Linked DNA regions of Notamacropus eugenii. The protein of the gene in region 2 purifies or fractionates together with the protein of the main gene of each other region. This does not show direct contact. Links are inferred from orthologs where the notes say so. Each region holds a gene or a part of one and is shown on either strand. Other genes may lie near its edges.

Evidence for each region.
Region 1: the proteins of ANAPC15 (region 2) and CDC26 purify together in Homo sapiens (affinity purification with mass spectrometry; 3 studies listed by BioGRID and IntAct, with this or other methods). This does not show direct contact. The link is inferred for Notamacropus eugenii from reciprocal best matches to the Homo sapiens genes ANAPC15 and CDC26.

The regions. Positions count from the first base shown.
Region 1 is NC_092872.1:478,473,372-478,481,397, reverse strand, and holds the start of CDC26 (anaphase-promoting complex subunit CDC26), read right to left. Parts: upstream 3,145-8,026; 5' UTR 3,036-3,144; exon of another isoform or gene 2,918-3,035; intron 2,457-2,917; exon of another isoform or gene 2,401-2,456; intron 1,524-2,400; 5' UTR 1,484-1,523; coding exon 1,403-1,483; intron 1-1,402. Other genes in the region: PRPF4 (U4/U6 small nuclear ribonucleoprotein Prp4), read left to right, coding at 3,352-3,378, 4,760-4,943, 6,852-7,038. UniProt on the Homo sapiens protein: Component of the anaphase promoting complex/cyclosome (APC/C), a cell cycle-regulated E3 ubiquitin ligase that controls progression through mitosis and the G1 phase of the cell cycle.
Region 2 is NC_092876.1:96,806,973-96,814,948, forward strand, and holds the start of ANAPC15 (anaphase-promoting complex subunit 15), read right to left. Parts: upstream 3,180-7,976; 5' UTR 2,974-3,179; coding exon 2,835-2,973; intron 2,385-2,834; exon of another isoform or gene 2,250-2,384; coding exon of another isoform or gene 2,147-2,249; intron 1-2,146. UniProt on the Homo sapiens protein: Component of the anaphase promoting complex/cyclosome (APC/C), a cell cycle-regulated E3 ubiquitin ligase that controls progression through mitosis and the G1 phase of the cell cycle.

The DNA of each region.
Region 1 (8,026 bases), on a different chromosome or scaffold from region 2:
GGTTCAAATGCAAATTAGATCATCAAGGGCAAAGTTCAAATACTCTCAAATGTAATCCAAACTGAACCTATGTATAAATCAGGCAGGCTTTACTGATTTGAAATAAATCAAGGTCTTTATCTGACCAGAATCCCCAGCCTTTTAAAATCCAAGACCTACAATTTTTCAGCTCCAGAGGGGGCTGCCTGTTTAAAAAATAAACAAATATATTTTTATTTTTTATTATTATTTTATTTGTTTTCAGTGTTCTACAATCACTTCCAATGTATCTTAGATTTTTTCCCCTCCCTCCTCCCTTACCCTCTACCACCCCTCTCCCTCCCTGAGATGGCATACAGTTTTATATAGGTTCTACACATACATTCCTATTAAATACATTTTCACCTTACTCATGTTGCATAGAAGAATTAAAATGAATGGGAGGAATCATAAAACAAACCAAAACGTAATACAAAAGAAAATGATCTGCTACATTCTGCAATCGAATTCCATAGTTCTTTCTCTGGATGTGGAAGGCATTTTGCCTTAAGAGACCACTGGGAATTTTTTAAATCCTTGCATTGCAATGAAGTACTAAGTCTACCAGAAAAAATCCTCATAGACTGTGGTTGTTGCTGTGTACAGAGTTCTCCTGGTTCTGCTCCTTTCACTCAGCATCAGATCATATAAGTCTTTCCAGGCCTCTCTGAAGTCTTCCTGTTCATCATTTCTTATAGCGCAATAGTATTCCATTACATTCATATGCCACAATTTATTCAGCCATTCCCCAATTGACGGGCCTCCCCTTGATTTCCAGTTTTTGGCCACCACAAAGAGGGCTGCTATAAATATTTTTGTACATGTGGGACCCTTTCCCATTTTTATGATCTCTTGGGGATACTGGAGTGGTTTGCATTTTCCTTCTCCAGCTCATTTTACAGATGAAGAAACTGAGTAAAAGGGTTAAATAACTTGCCCAGAGTCAAGCGAGTATCTGAGGCTGCATTTGCACTCAAGTCTTTCTGATTCCAAGCCCTGCCCTCTATTCCCTGCAATATCTAGCAGCCCATTTAACTTTTAAAATACATTTTTAAAAAACCCATTCATATTCACTATCATATGCAAGATGAAGTGGTTAAAAGTTCACAATGTATGGCTTGCCTTGCTTGCTCCCTAATATAAAAAGACTGAGTTTAATTGAAATTTAAACATGCATAGTTCCATATGAAAATGCTTATTTTGATATGAAGTGACCTTCAAATCAAGGTTCTTCTAAGTAATGATGTGTACACATCTACACTAAAAACTCAATCTTCAACGTTCCTCTCCCAAATGAAATAGGTTTCTAGACAGAATACTTTAGACTAAGATAACACATCCTAAAATACCCACTCCATAAAATAACAGACGTGACCACACTCACCTCCAGATCCTTCCGGATACTCTCGAATTCCTCAATGTCATCTAGCTTCAACTCCAGGCGAGTGGGTTTTCGTCGGAGCATCCTGGTAACAGTTCAACACGTCCAAGCCAAATCCACCAAACTGTCAAAATTTAGGGAGAAGGAAGAGGCTCTACAAGAAGCATACTCTGGTGGGGATGGATTTTCTGCAAGCAAACAACGATACCCTAAACGTACACACAACCTCCTGAGCTGTCAGGAAGCCTCAATGACTCTGATTTCACAGCCATTCAAAAATAGCTGCCTGTGAAACACATAGAAACCAAAAGATGTACAATCCACTTTAATCCAGTAGTACTTCAGCCACATTCAGAGAAATGTACAAGTTTATACAGACAGTTAAAAATAACTTTCCTTAATTCAAAATGAATTACCATTTACAAAATGGATAGTGACAATCACTTTAATACCCTTTGCCTGGGTTTTTAGGGATTTGTGACCACTGGCAAAAGTCAAGTTAAGATTTCATTTTCAAATGAATCACACAGTGGTTGACTTCCTAATTCTAAGGAAAAGTCTCTTTGATTCATAACTATATAATGACTTGATGCAAACTTTTTCAAGGAACAAAAAACAGAAATAAACAATTGCGCAGATTTATGCTAAAATGTTTACAGAGGATTACGCTTTGTAACCATTAAAATGATTACAGAGGAAATCAATAATGCTAGGGTCATTTTTTTTAGCACCATTTAATGATCTGAATTTTAATAAACCTTTTTTTTTTTGGCTTTTCATAGACTTAAAAAGTTTTACTGGTGTTTTTCATGTTGTTATTTCTGAATATCCTTTTCCCCTCCCCTGTAACAGATTCCTATTTAGCAGTGTTAACCTCCCCAACTATTAGCATTGATTTAACATCCCTCTCTTCGGTAATGAAGAACAATGGACCGGAGTCCCTCAATGAGTATGCATGCCAGCATATGCTTTCCCACCGTATTTTAGGATTCTGGGCATACCCACCACACTCTCCAGACCCACTTCAATCCTGGAACCAAGATGAACGGCAGGGGATCTGAGATGGACGGAGCACTAGGTTCAGCGCATCAACCGAATATAAATACAGTAGGCAATTTCTGAGTGGTTCTTATTCCCCATCATCTATATCTAGGTATTTCCCCTACCTCCTTAACGTGGGGTGGGGAAGGGGAGGGGATGGAGGATGCCACCCTGCCTTGAACCTGGTCTACTCCGTGGCCCTTAGTTTCGCCATCTGTAAAACGAGAGTTGACCCATTTCCCCTCTAAGGTCAGTGGAATCAGACTGTGAAGGGAGAGGGAGGTTGTGGTTGAGGCTGGAGCCGTCGTTTCCATGACTACAGAGAGGCAGGCCAGCGGACCGAGCAGCAGGGAAGCCGAAGCCTGCCCGCCGGCGGCCAGCTCCTTCCTCCCGGCTCACGTCCCCTTCCCTTTCCGCCCGCCTCGCCCCAGGAACTAGGTCCTCAGCTCGAAGCAGCCCTCATGGCCCAACACCCACCTCCCCCCAGCGCGGCGCGGCTCAGCTCAGCTTGGTTTAGCCCAGTCCCGGGGCGAAACCGACTTCTCGGACCCCTACCGCCTCCAGCCTGTTCCACTCCGCCTTTCCAGCCACCTACCAATCTTCTGTAGGCTTGACCGCAAGGACTGCATCTCCCGACATGCCGCGTGGCCCCTTCCTTATCCGTCGCTGCTGACTACCTCTCCCAGAGTGCTCCGCGCTTCATTCCCTCAGGTTGCAACAGAAGCCCCTAGACGAAGACTACAATCCCCGGCCTGCTCCGCGCCTCCCCGGGCTTCCGGACTCCGTTTAGTTCCGGTTATGTTCTATTTCCGACACGTTTCGAAATTTCCGGTCCCCTGAGCGTGGAGTGAGTCCTCCGGCGGTGGGGGTCAGCGGCCGTGGTGGTCTGCGATTGAAATTCTTACCACAACATGGCTTCTTCTCGAGCTTCGGCTACGGTGCGGCTCTGGCCTTGGTGTTTAGGGATCCTTGGGAGTTCTCCCCACGTGTAGGGGAGCCGGAATTGGCTTCTGCCCTTCCACTGAACCCGCGCTCAGGGAGATGATGGGTGGGTTGGTGCAGAGGCAGGGGGATGGACTCGCCGAGTTCCTGACTCCTGACTCTGCCGCCCCTCCGAAGGGAACTGGCCTCCCCTCCCACCCCGACGGAACTGGGGCCACAGCTGGGGTTTGAAGTCAACGCGGCGGCGGGGGGGGGGGGGGGGGGGGGGAGGGGGGGAGTTGGAGTTCTAAAAGAGACAGTGTGGTAATAAAAAGTTGCCCTGGACTCAAGGTGGGAGATCGGACTTCCCAGCTCTACACGAATTTGGTTAAGCCTGTTAATTCCTGGCCCCAGTTTCCTTCTGTAAAGAGAGAAATCTAGATGAGATGCTAACTTAGACTTTTTCAGCATCGTGTTCTGTCATTGGGTTTTAGTCCTAGCTTTGTCCAGATCCCAGACAGATCGCTGAACCCTAGTTTGTCATCTCCAAAAGGAGAGTTACAAGGAAGCAGTTGTTAGTTCAGGATTGGGGAGGGACTTAACAAAGTTGTGGAAAAGGCTTCTGTGACAGATGGTGACTTCACCTTCACTTGGAAGTGTTTGAGCACAATTTGAATGACTGCTGGTCAGGGATGTTACAGAGGAGATTTCCTGTATCTGCAAAAGGGATGGACTAGATGATGTAGACTCTAAAACTCCAAAATTGTATTTAAAAAGGTGATAATCCCTGATCTTTTCCCTTCGTAGGATTTTTGGGAAGATGAAATAAGATTATGCATGTATAAATGCATTGAAATCTAGAAAGTTCTATAGAGATTGTAGTGTACTTCAGAGTTGAAAAAACATAGACCCCAATTTAGAATTTTCTTTGGTTTAACCAGAGGTAAATTTTCTCATTATGTTTCCCTTTAAATTCACTGCTTAAATTTATTTCAGGTCCTTTATTATCTAAATGACTCTAAAAGGACATTGAATGGATAGCAAGCTCAGTATGCTATTGATAACGTAAATGAACACTCATTTCTCCAAGATAGATTGCACCTGTCCCCAGAGGTCTTACATCTTAATAAGCAGTATCAAAGTAACCTATTGATTGGGAAATCACTCAGAAAAAGATGGAGTTCATTAGTTTCATCCCACACGTTTCTTGTCCCGAACATGCTCTCATGTGAGGGATGCACTAAAACAATTACTACCTTATCTGAGTGGGGAAAGTTCCAACTGGTGCTGTGCTTATTTCTGCAGATCCAGGAATAGCATTTGGTTTCAGAATTAACACTTCAGGCAGTTCCGAAGGTTGCTCCAACTCTAGGTTAACTCTACTTTTTGATTTTATAGGCAACCAAAACCCCCAGTAGGACTCCTGAAGACACTGCCTCCCCTGTGGTGAAGAAGCCTCATATCTATTATGGCAGTTTGGAAGAGAAGGAGAAGGAACGTATTGCAAGAGGGGAGTCAGGGATGTTGGGGAAAGAAGGAATTAAAGCTGGAATTGAGGCTGGAAATATTAATATAACTTCTGGTAAGACTAGTTTTGGACTAATCTTTTGTGTTGCCTGTTCTGCCTGGTCTTAAGTACGGGTTTTCTAGGTTTGAATATTTTCTCCTTTTACTTTGGGCCTTGATTAAAATAAGTTTTGCATTATCAACTATAGTCTCTCCTTGAACTTCTCTTTATGGAAGCGTGATTTATAAATGGTATCTCTGAGACTAAGTTTTACTTTGCCTGCCTCATATCCATGGGCCTTTACATTCTTGGGGATTAATAGTCTAATTTGTATTACATTAGTCTGTCATATGGTTGTAAATTCTACTAGATTTTAAATTCCTTGAAGGTACTAAACCAATCCTTACAATGTGTCAGGTACTGTGCCACACACTAAACATGTGAGTGCAAAGAATGTAGCATTCCCTACAGTTAGGCAACAAATACAAGCCTTAATGGCTGTATGTTTGTATATATACACATATACGTATACATGTATTTATATATTTCATAAATTTAAAGTGAATAAATACAAATATATACAAAGAAGTTAAAAACAAACTTGCTGAACAGATTGTTTTGGCCTTGTATTTACCATAGTGCCTAATGTAGTATGCACTTAAAAGTAGTCATTCTTCTCATCTTGTGTCTTCTCAGACACCTTTTTCTTCCCCACATCTTTTTGGTAGGACTGTTCCTATGAATTATGAGTATTTGTACTAGAAAGTCACTCAGAGTAAGTTCATAGAATCATATTCTGCTTCTTCAAAGAACAAGTTTAACATGGTCCTGATATTACTGTTTTGAGCCATTGTGGTCATGTTTATTTCTTTTGCTTTTTTTCTTTTCCAAAGTTTTTATTTGATCGTTTCCCTATACTACATCTGAACAGCTAAGCCACTGCAGCTTAGCCAAGACTCCCTAGTATTGATTCTAGTTTTAAAAACAGTTTTTTTTTAACCTGATCCTGTCTGTAAACTTGTTTTTTGCTTTTTTAAAAGTTAAAACTTTTAAAATGCACTAAGAGTTTTGGGACAATCCTTTATTTTGTTGTTCAGTCATTTCAGTTGTATCTGAGTCTTCATGACCCCATTTGGGGTTTTTTTGGGCAAAGACACTTCCTTCCCCAACTCATTTTACAATTCAGGTAACTGAGACAAACAGGGTTAAGTGACTTGCCCAAGGTCACACAGCTAATAAGTATCTGGGGCTGGGTTTGAACTCAGGTCTTCCTGACTCTAGGCCCAGCATCTATCTGCTTAGCCACCTAGCTGCCCCAGTCTGTGTCTAGATCACTGTAGTTTGTTGTAGTTGATTTCTGTTGTATATTTCATTTTGTGTATTTAAAAACCTTCTGATAAGGGGTCCATAGGTTTCCCCAGACTGCCAAAGAGTTTCCATGATATCTTGTCCTAGCTTATTTAAATGAGTCCAAGGAGATATTGAATTGATAGCAAGTTTAATTTGTTACTTGTGATATAAATGAACACTCTGTCTGGAACCCTAAGAGAGATTGTACCTGTCACAATTCTACTGTCAATTCCTGTAGAACTGTGAATTGCATTCTCATGGGAGTTTATCAGTCATGTTTTAGTGCCCGTATATCAGCATTTGATGAATACAAGTATGCAACTTGTGCCTCTCTTTTTCTTTTTAAACAAAATGCCTAAATAATTAATTTGCTAAATGTATCAAAGATTCTGGGCTCTTGAAGTCTGTCCTCTCCAGGTTTCATCAAAACTTTGTATTTTGCACTTTTGTTTAGTTGGGATTGGGATTGTGTCGAGTAGGAATTAGAGATGGATAGAGCAGTTACCCTCCTTTTAGAGCTGTTGAATTTTGAGCTGGGTATTGGGCATGAATAATCAGTTTCGATTTTTTTCCTTCTCTGTATTTGGAGTATAAGCTCTGATCATTATACTCTATTGCCTTTTCTTTGTATAGGGGAAGTCTTTGAAATTGAAGAACACATCAGTGAAAGACAAGCAGAAGTGTTGGCTGAATTTGAGCGAAGGAAGCGAGCCCGGCAAATCAATGTTTCCACAGATGACTCCGAAGTCAAGGCTTGCCTTCGAGCGCTGGGTGAACCAATCACACTCTTTGGAGAGGGCCCTGCTGAAAGGAGAGAGAGGTGATCATCTCCAGATGGCTTTCTGACTTCCCAAAATAATTGAAATTTTTCTCCTTTTTGTAATATATTCTGGTCACAAGATTTGGACTAGTCAGTGAAGCTGAGACTTTGACCATTGGTCTTAGGTCTTCTCTACATTTTACTTATTTGTTTCAGCTAATAAGATAATTCTTAAGCTATTTTGGAGAAGACTTTTTAAAATGCTGAATTTTCTATTATAAGCAGTGAAAAGAGTACTTGAATAATATCTAATTATTTTAAATCAGTGTTAGAATTTGGGATTGATTAAATATTTGTGTTTGAGTCTTAAAAAATTATCTGAAAAAAATAGACATCTGATAAATTTCTTCCTCATCAACTATTTAAACTATAAGGCCTTTTCATGTAAAACTTGAGAAAAGAATGGTACCTTTTACTATCCACATGTTACTGCCATAAGCAGAATCAGCTAGTGATGCCATCAGTGGCTAAAGGAGAGGGAAAATCTGCCGTTTTGCTGTATATGTACTTGGGGTGATGAACAGGTCTAGACAAATTGGCTGGCTTCAGAGAGGCCTCTTAAGGAGACAGAGTTTGTAGATTCTGGGAGGATGCCACAGTAGAGTTCAGAGTTTGCAAAGGAGTGAGGGATGGCTGAGAATAAGAATAGTTGAAGTAGGAATACATTGAGCACCTTTAATTAAAAAAAAAATGAGATTTTGGATGAGGAGAGAATATTGCAATTTTGATTTGACTTTAATGGCTGCTGTTTTATCTCTTTTGATGGTAGTGTGGTTTAGTGGGTAGAGGGCCAGCCAGGAGATTAAGAAAACCTGCATTCATGTCTTGCTTGTGTGACCATGAACAAGTTACTGTATCTCTCAGTATCCTGGAGAACTTTTTAAGACTCAGAGTTATAGAAGAATTGCTAGATCAAATGAGGTAACAATTTTAAAACCCTTAGCACTGTGCCTGGCGCATGATGAGCACTTGACAAATGCTTTTTGAT
Region 2 (7,976 bases):
CTGTGAACTGATCCAACCATTATGGAGAACAATTTGGAACTATGCCCAAAGGGCTAAAAACTGTGCATACCCTTTGATCAAGTAATACTACTACTAGGTCTGTATTCCGAAGACATCATAAAAATGGGAAAAAAAACCCACATGTACAAAAATACTTATCGTAACAATTTGTGTAGTGTGGCAAAGAATTGGAAATTGAGAGGATGGCTCATCAGCTGGGGAATGGCTAAACAAGTTTGGTATATGAATGTAATAAAATATTATTGTGCTACAAGAAATGATGAGCAGGCAAATTTCAGGAAAACCTGTAAAGATTTACATGAAGTACTGCTGAATGAAGTGAGCACAACTAGAACATTGTACACAATACCAGCAACAGTGTGATGACCAACTTTGATAGACCTAGCTCATCTCAGCAATGCAGTGATGTAAGACAATTCTAAAGGACTCAGGATGGAAAATGCTATCCACATTCAAAGAACTATGGATTCTGAATGCAGATCAAAGCATATTATTTTCTCTTTCTGTTTTTTCTTTTTCATAGTTTTTCCCTTTTGTTCTGATGCTTCTTTCACAAAACCAATGTGGAAGTATATTTAATATGATTGTATGTATAGCCTATATCAGATTGCATGCCATCTTGAGAAGGGAGAGGGGAAATTTAGAACTCAAAATGTTATAAAAGTGAATGCTGAAAATTAAAAATTAATTAATTTTTTAAAAAATTACTGTGGAATATTACTTGAAAAAATTTTGTTCCCTTCTGATACCTTTATATAAAAGATGCTCTACATGCAAGAACAGGTTATTTTCATAAAAATTTAAAATATCATATATGGGGAAAATAAATATGTCAGTAGTTATTGTGGTTTTTCAGATGCCTTTATTTTTTCAGTAATCATGAAGCCTGAGATTTTTTTAATACTTTTGCTATCTTCTCCTTTAGATATCTTAAGGATCAACATTCAGTGCCTTCAAAATTGTTATCTCTATCACTGATCCTCTCTGTACATACTTGGTCTGGTCCAGATGCTTTTCCCATCTTGTTTTCTTAAGTGCCATTTTTACTTCTTCACATCTAGTACTGTGAGGTTAGACTCCAAATTCCATTGTCCTTGATATTGAAAAGTCAATCACAAATATATTGGAAGCTTTATTTAAACAATCTGTGCTGTCCTGTTTTTGAATGTTTTACAACATGATGCTGCTCATAATCTTTCCTTAAAATGAGATTATATTCTAAACCAGTGTTGTTGCCCCTGATTTCTACATTTCTCTACTTGGCAAAGCAGTTCACTATTTGTTAACTGAGGTGATTTTAGGGCTTTTGTTATGGCACCTGATTTGCATTAGTCAAACTTCTGAATGAAACTGTTATAATTGGTATGATATACCTTCCTCTGGGGCAGCTAGGTAGTGCAGCAGATAGAATGGTGGGACTGAAATTAGGAAGACTCATCTTCCCGTGTTCAAATCTGGCCTCAGGCACTTACTAGCTGTGTGACCCTGGGCAAGTCACTTAACCCTCAGTTTCCTCATCTGTAAAAGGAGCTGGAGAAGGAAATGGCAAACCACACCAGAATCTTTTCCAAGAAAACCCCAAATGGAGTCACAAAGAGGTGAACCCCACTGAAGAAACAAGTGAACAAATGGAATCTTATCACAGAAAAAGTTCCATCCACTCTCCACCTCCCCAAGGACAGAGAACTAGACTTACATTTAGACTTGCTTTCCTAGTAAACCTTTGTACACGGATAAACAATTATAGGAATCTGGCAGGAAAATTATGCAATTTTTCACTATAACAGTCTAAATCTGAATATCAAAAGGGGCCAGGGACACTCAGTCGTTTTGGTCGTATCTGACTGACTCTTCCTGACTCGATTTGGGGTTTTCTTGGCAATGATACTGGAATACTTTACCATTTTCAGCTCATTTTACTCATAAGGAAACTGACATAAAAAGAGGTTAAGTGACTTGTCCAGGGTCAAGCAGCCACTAAGTGTCTGAGGCCACATTTAAATACGGGAAGATGAGTATTCCCGCCCCTGGTCCGGGCACTTTATCCACTTAGCCACCTAGATGCCCAGCTGGGTAGCAGGATATGAACCCAGCTCCCACGCTAAACCGTCTACACCAACGCCACCTGGACTCAGGTCTCCGGACTCCCAGGCCAGTGCTCTTTCCCCCAAATTAAATCGAGTCCAATTTTTCTCACTGAGGAGCTCAGACAGGAAACCAGGCCACATTAATGGAGGCGACGTGGGGCCAACAGGGACGACGCTGCCCAGGGACTAAGATCCTAAAGAAGTGGTAAGAGTTAAAGAGAAAGGCGGGGCAACACGGGGGGAGGGCGTGCTCATTCGGGAGCCAATGGAGAAAAGGCAAAAAGCGGGTCCCAGGAAAGAGACCTAACCAATGGGAGGAAGTAAAGGAAGAGTAGCCCTCGAATTGGGGACGTACCTACACGACGGGGCAGGGGAAGGGAGGAGACGCCCAGAGCCAGGGGGAAGGCGGGGCTTTGGAGAGGAGCGTGCCCTACCAGCGAGGAGAAACAACATGGGGCGGGGCCTAGGACAAGGGGACTGGGCCACAGGCCTGGAAAGGAGTATTTGTTTCCAGATAACGGAGAGCAGGGCCAATGAACGGAGACCTTGAGGAAGGGGGCGTGGCTTCGAGAATGGGGATGTGGCCGATAGGTGGACCCAACTTAACCCCAGGGAACGAGATCGGAGCAGAAAGGATCGCTCTCGGGACCCAAGATGGGTTTGGGAAGATGGGCCTCCTCTTGAGGAATCCCATAGTTCAATCCATGAACCGCTGCTCTTACTCACCGCGCCAGGAAGTTGTAGCCGGTGGCGACCCGGAAGTACTTCCGTCTCCCTCAGTAGAATGTTGTACCAGTACTTGACAAAGATTCGCTCCTTGCTCAAGCGTATCCCCGCCACAATCGCCTTCCCTAGGGACGCGCATGCGCGAACAGAGGACTTCAGCGCTACGCCCCCTCTTCGATTTCTTGTGTGAGGTCTCTCACAAGTGGTTGGCCAACGCGCCAGCCCCGCCCCTTTCCCCCGGTCCAATTGTCTATGCTCATCCCACCCCTCCCATCCCACTTTTAGGGCTCGTGCAGCCATAGGCTGTGAGGCCCCGCCTCCATGCTGGGCGTTCACCGCGGCCCTTCCGTGCCTCGTTGACGTCTGGCTCTTGGGAAGGGGCCTTGTGCCATCCCTCTGTGCCCCTAAAGCGCCCCAAGAAGGGGAAGTGACTTCTGAGAGTTCAAAAAGTACCCTCTCCCCCCCTCCTGGCACAGGTATTAGATCCAAGACCCTGGGAGTCAGGTGGGCCGTGGGGGTTAGGAACCCCGGTTCCAGTGTGTATTAAAACAAGCATTTATGAAGTGCCTGCTGTGTACCAGATAACTAGCAGGGCCCGAGAGGTGCCAGGACGTCACAAAACCGCACCTGCCCTCAAGCCTTTACAGAATAAAGACCAGGGAAGACACAGGCTTGTTAGAGGAGCATCTAAGGACTCCGTCAGGTCCAGAAGCAAGCAGCATGCATTAAACGCTTTGTGCCAGGGCTGTGCCAATGCTGGGGATGCAGATCTTCACCTCCAACCCTGCGCTACCCCTCGTCAAAGGAAGCTGATGGGATGGGGGAGGGAGAAGGAGACTGTGCCCTGGAGGATCTGGGTGAAGAAATTGTGGACAGTCTGGCGGGAATTACTGAAATGAATGAAGCTATGGATCACTTGGCTGGAAAAGGAAGTGGTAAAGAGCCAGCTCCGAGGAAAGGCCTAGAGGTGGAGTGAACGTGCAGGTAGGAAGACCGGGAGAGGATTGAATTTCCAGGTCTGAGCTGAGGGAAATCTGTAGGAAACCAGTGATCCTAAAAAGCAAAAAGGAGAGGTGCATTTCAGGCATGGGAGTCAGCCTGGGCAAGAGCAGGGAGGCAGGAGATGGGATGGCACGTGTGAGGAAAGCAAAGTCTTCAGTTTGGGAAGATCAGGTGGAGAGATTTGCCCTACGTTTGGAAAGGATTTTGGTGCCGGGTCAATAAGAGTTTATTAAGCACCAGCCTCTGTGCTAAGATACAAAGAAAGACAAAAATTCTCTTAAGGAACTCGAAGTATAAAAGGGTAAACAAGAGGAAAATAGCTACAAACAAGATATATGTGCAGGATGAATCAGTGGTTATCCCAGGGAGAAGGAGATTAAGGAGATTAACAGAGATGAAGACCCATATGTGCGAAGATACCTATAGCAGATCTTTTTGTAGTGGCAAAGAATTGGAAACTTAAGTGCCCATTAATTGGGAAATTCCCGAGCAAGTTAGGGTGTTTAAATGTGATGTAATATTATTGTGCTGTAAGAAATGATGAAGGAAGTTTTCTGCTTAAGCCAGCGTGACCCGAGACCACCCCAGAGCCAAGAGAATTACAAGGACAAGCCATTCGATATAGCTAGCCACTGGAGAGGATATCTGCAGCTCCTGACGCTGCTGCTGATGCCAAGGCTGGCCAGAGGCCTTGAGCTGGATCCCTTGTTGCTGTCAAAAAGTAAAGATTAATTTAGGAGAGAATGTGCAATACATGGCCAAGAGAAAATCACTGAGTGGCAAAACCTTATTACAATATACTTTTGTTTTATTTAACTTGTAAATGTGTGGAGCTTATTAAATCTGCTTCTGGTAAAGTCTTGATTTAAATGAAGTTACAATAATATTGGGAGTTCTGAAAGGAGAGTGTGGCCTCCCCAAAGTATTAGTTGATTCAGCTTAATTCAAAAAAAGATCCAAGAACCATACTCAGCTGGATCATTGAAGACTTTGGCCTGGGGCTGAGGGAAGTGAAGAGGGAGTGAATGTGAATAGACACTCTGGAAGAAAACTGGTGGGTGGAAGTGGATTGGGGATGGGGTGGGGAGAGCATCTGTTGGGTGTCATCAGACCAGAAACTTACCCCTGGCTTGAGTCAGTGGGGCTGGCCCTGGTAGGGAAGCTGCTTTACCAAAGACACCGTGGCTGAACTGCTTTAAAGGTGTTCAACCTCAGCCCAGGGGAGTGGGTTCTCTTTCAGAACTAACTTTCAAGCAGATACAGGAAGAAATGCTGTGAAAGGGGCAGGGGAAATGGAGGGGATAGAAGAGATAGTGTGAAGGGGGATGAAATATGAGGCCCTGGGCAGAAAGGGACTATGGTGTCCCTCACTCACAAAAGCCCTTCCTGAAAACTTCCCACAGAACAAAAAGACAAGAAACAATACAGCTCTGGGACACTTTCCTAGCATCTGCCTGTGGGAGGAGCTCAATTAGCTTTTATTGGTATTATGACTGGGCCATATAGTCTTGAGCCAAAGTACTCTCTGCACTGACATATATGCTCTATCTGGAGGAGCCCAAGGGATGGGACCTGGCCCAGGAATGTGCCTCCTCTCAGGGCCAATGCTATGGCTTGGGAGGTTGCAGTTTCTCATTACTGAATCAGGTTTTTCAAAGGCAATGACTTTATTGAGGATACTGTAATTGGGGTTATTATTCAGGCACTGCATATATTAGATGGATGACCCCTGAAACCATAGCCTTACTGCTAGGACTAGGACCAAAGGGCCTGGGTCAGGGCAGGAAGGATTTTGTCTCTGAAGTCATTGGGGAGGGAGGAAGGGCAAAGTTCCATTGACAATGTGTCTTGGATATTGAGTTCTGTGCCCAGTTCTATTCCCAAAAGTTTTTGGGGGACTGAAGAACTGGTTTCCTTTTATAAGACAGGACTAGATGAACAAGTCATCTTGTCTTCTGACTTGGTCTGCGGGGAAAATCACGAACAAGACAAGTGATATTCTTGGCAGCTAGCCAGGGCAAGGCTTTCTTTGAAGTTTAATCTTTCCCCATCAGGGATGACTGCTAATTAGGTAGAAGCCAGCTTCAGATGTTCCTGGCTTTTGCACAGCCCGATCCTTTCTCCTTCCCTCTCTCACTAAAGGGCTTCCCAGGATCAAAGAATTTCAGAGTTGGGCTCTCTAGTTCACTTTACACCTGAAAAATAATTCTTCCTCCTACAAGGGGCCGTTGTTAAACAGCTCCCATAGAGGGATCCACTACCTCCTAAGGTAGCTCATTCCAGATATGGAGAGATCTAACAAAATGTTTCTCCTAAACCCAAGCCTACATTTGCCTCCTTTTGATTTCCACCTATTACTTCTAGTTCTGCCCTCTGGGGTCAAACAGAGTAAGTCTATCCCATCTTCCTTAAGTACTTGAAGGCAGCTATCATGCTTCCCCTAAATCTTTACTTATCTGGCATAAATATCCTCAGTTTCTGCATGGTAGCCCCTCATGCTGTCAATCAAGGCCCTTTACCATCCTGGCTGCCTTGTTTTGAACATTCTCTAGTATCCTTCTTAAAATGTGACACTCCCAACTGCACCTAGTGTTCTGATGCTGTTGCACCACAGCAGAACATGGAGGCGTGATTATGTGCAATCCTGGACACTATGCTTCAAGGAAATGCAACCTAAGATCACCTATCACATGACTGGCAGTCTGCCAAAACCCATACATATAAATTTTTTATTATTTTTTTATTTTTATTTTATTTTTTTACTGATGCTTTTACACACAGGGCTGTCACTGCTCAATACTCTTCCCCCCCGGGTTACCCCCACCATGGAAACTCCTCTTGTAACATGAAATATATTTAAACAAAACAAAATGACATTTACCATGTCTGACAACATATGCCTCATTCAGCACTTGTAGTCTGCCACCTCTCCATGGAGGGGAAGAATGTTTCATTATCAGTGTTATGATGAACCAGTCTGAATTCTGATGCCTTTTAGAATTTTCCTTAACTTAAAGAATTTCTCTTTCTTACACTGGTGTTGCCCTCTTGGTTTTACTTACTTAGTTCTGTATCAAATCTTCCCAAGTTTCTCCAAACTCCTTATAATTCACTGTTTCTCAGAATGTTATAATATTCTATTATATTCACATTCCAGCATTTGTTTGCCTATTCCCAAATCAACAGGCATCTAGTCTGTTTCCAGTTGTTTGCTACCATAAAAAGTGGAGCAAAAAATATTTTGGTATACTTGTCTTTGGTCTCATTGGGGTATCTCCAGGGAGGAGTGGTATCAAGGTCAAAGGGCATGAACAATTTGATCACTTTTGTAGGTCAACTCAGTCTCAGATCTTCAGATAAACTGCTGTGTAGTCATGTGTGTCATCTTATCAACCTTTTTTGAAAAAAATTCAAATCTTTTAGAATGCCATTCCATTTGTTTTCTCTGAAAAGCTAAGGAAATGGTACAGTGGTGGACACAGTGCTAGACATGGAACCAGAAGATACTGTTTCCAGTCTTAAGGTCACTCAAATAGTTATGTGATCAGAAGCTTATCAGTCCATCTTTTCTGAACTCTGGTTCTTTCATATGTAAAATGTAAAACCTTTGGTCGACTTCTTTTCTAAGGGTGCTGTGAGGATCAAGTGAGGTCACGGATGGGAAAGCACCTTGTAATGGAAAAGCTCTAGCAGAAGTTCCCAAACTTATTTGGCCTACCACCTCTTTTAAAAGAAAATTAGTCAGCACCTCCTGGAAATCTAATTTCCTTAACCCTTTCATGTTTTTAAAATTTGTGTCATTTCAAAAAGATACAAGATTTTTTAAAAAAACATGATGCATCTTAAATTTAATAGTTTATTGTAAATTTGTGGGGTTTTTCCTGCATTGAAATTTTAATGATGAAATATTGCATCATGTAACCATATAGTATCATATTACAAACAATTCATTACTTGCACATATTCCTACTGATGCTTGCTGGGCTTCCTGACAATGTGCTACATGCTCACCTGTCAACACTTGCTTGTTAAGACCTGTTGTTGGACTTGACCACTGATTGGTTATGGTTATAACTTGCATTTTGTGGCATTTTTCTGGAAAATAATGTAATCACTACAATTTTAACTCTGTTATACAAC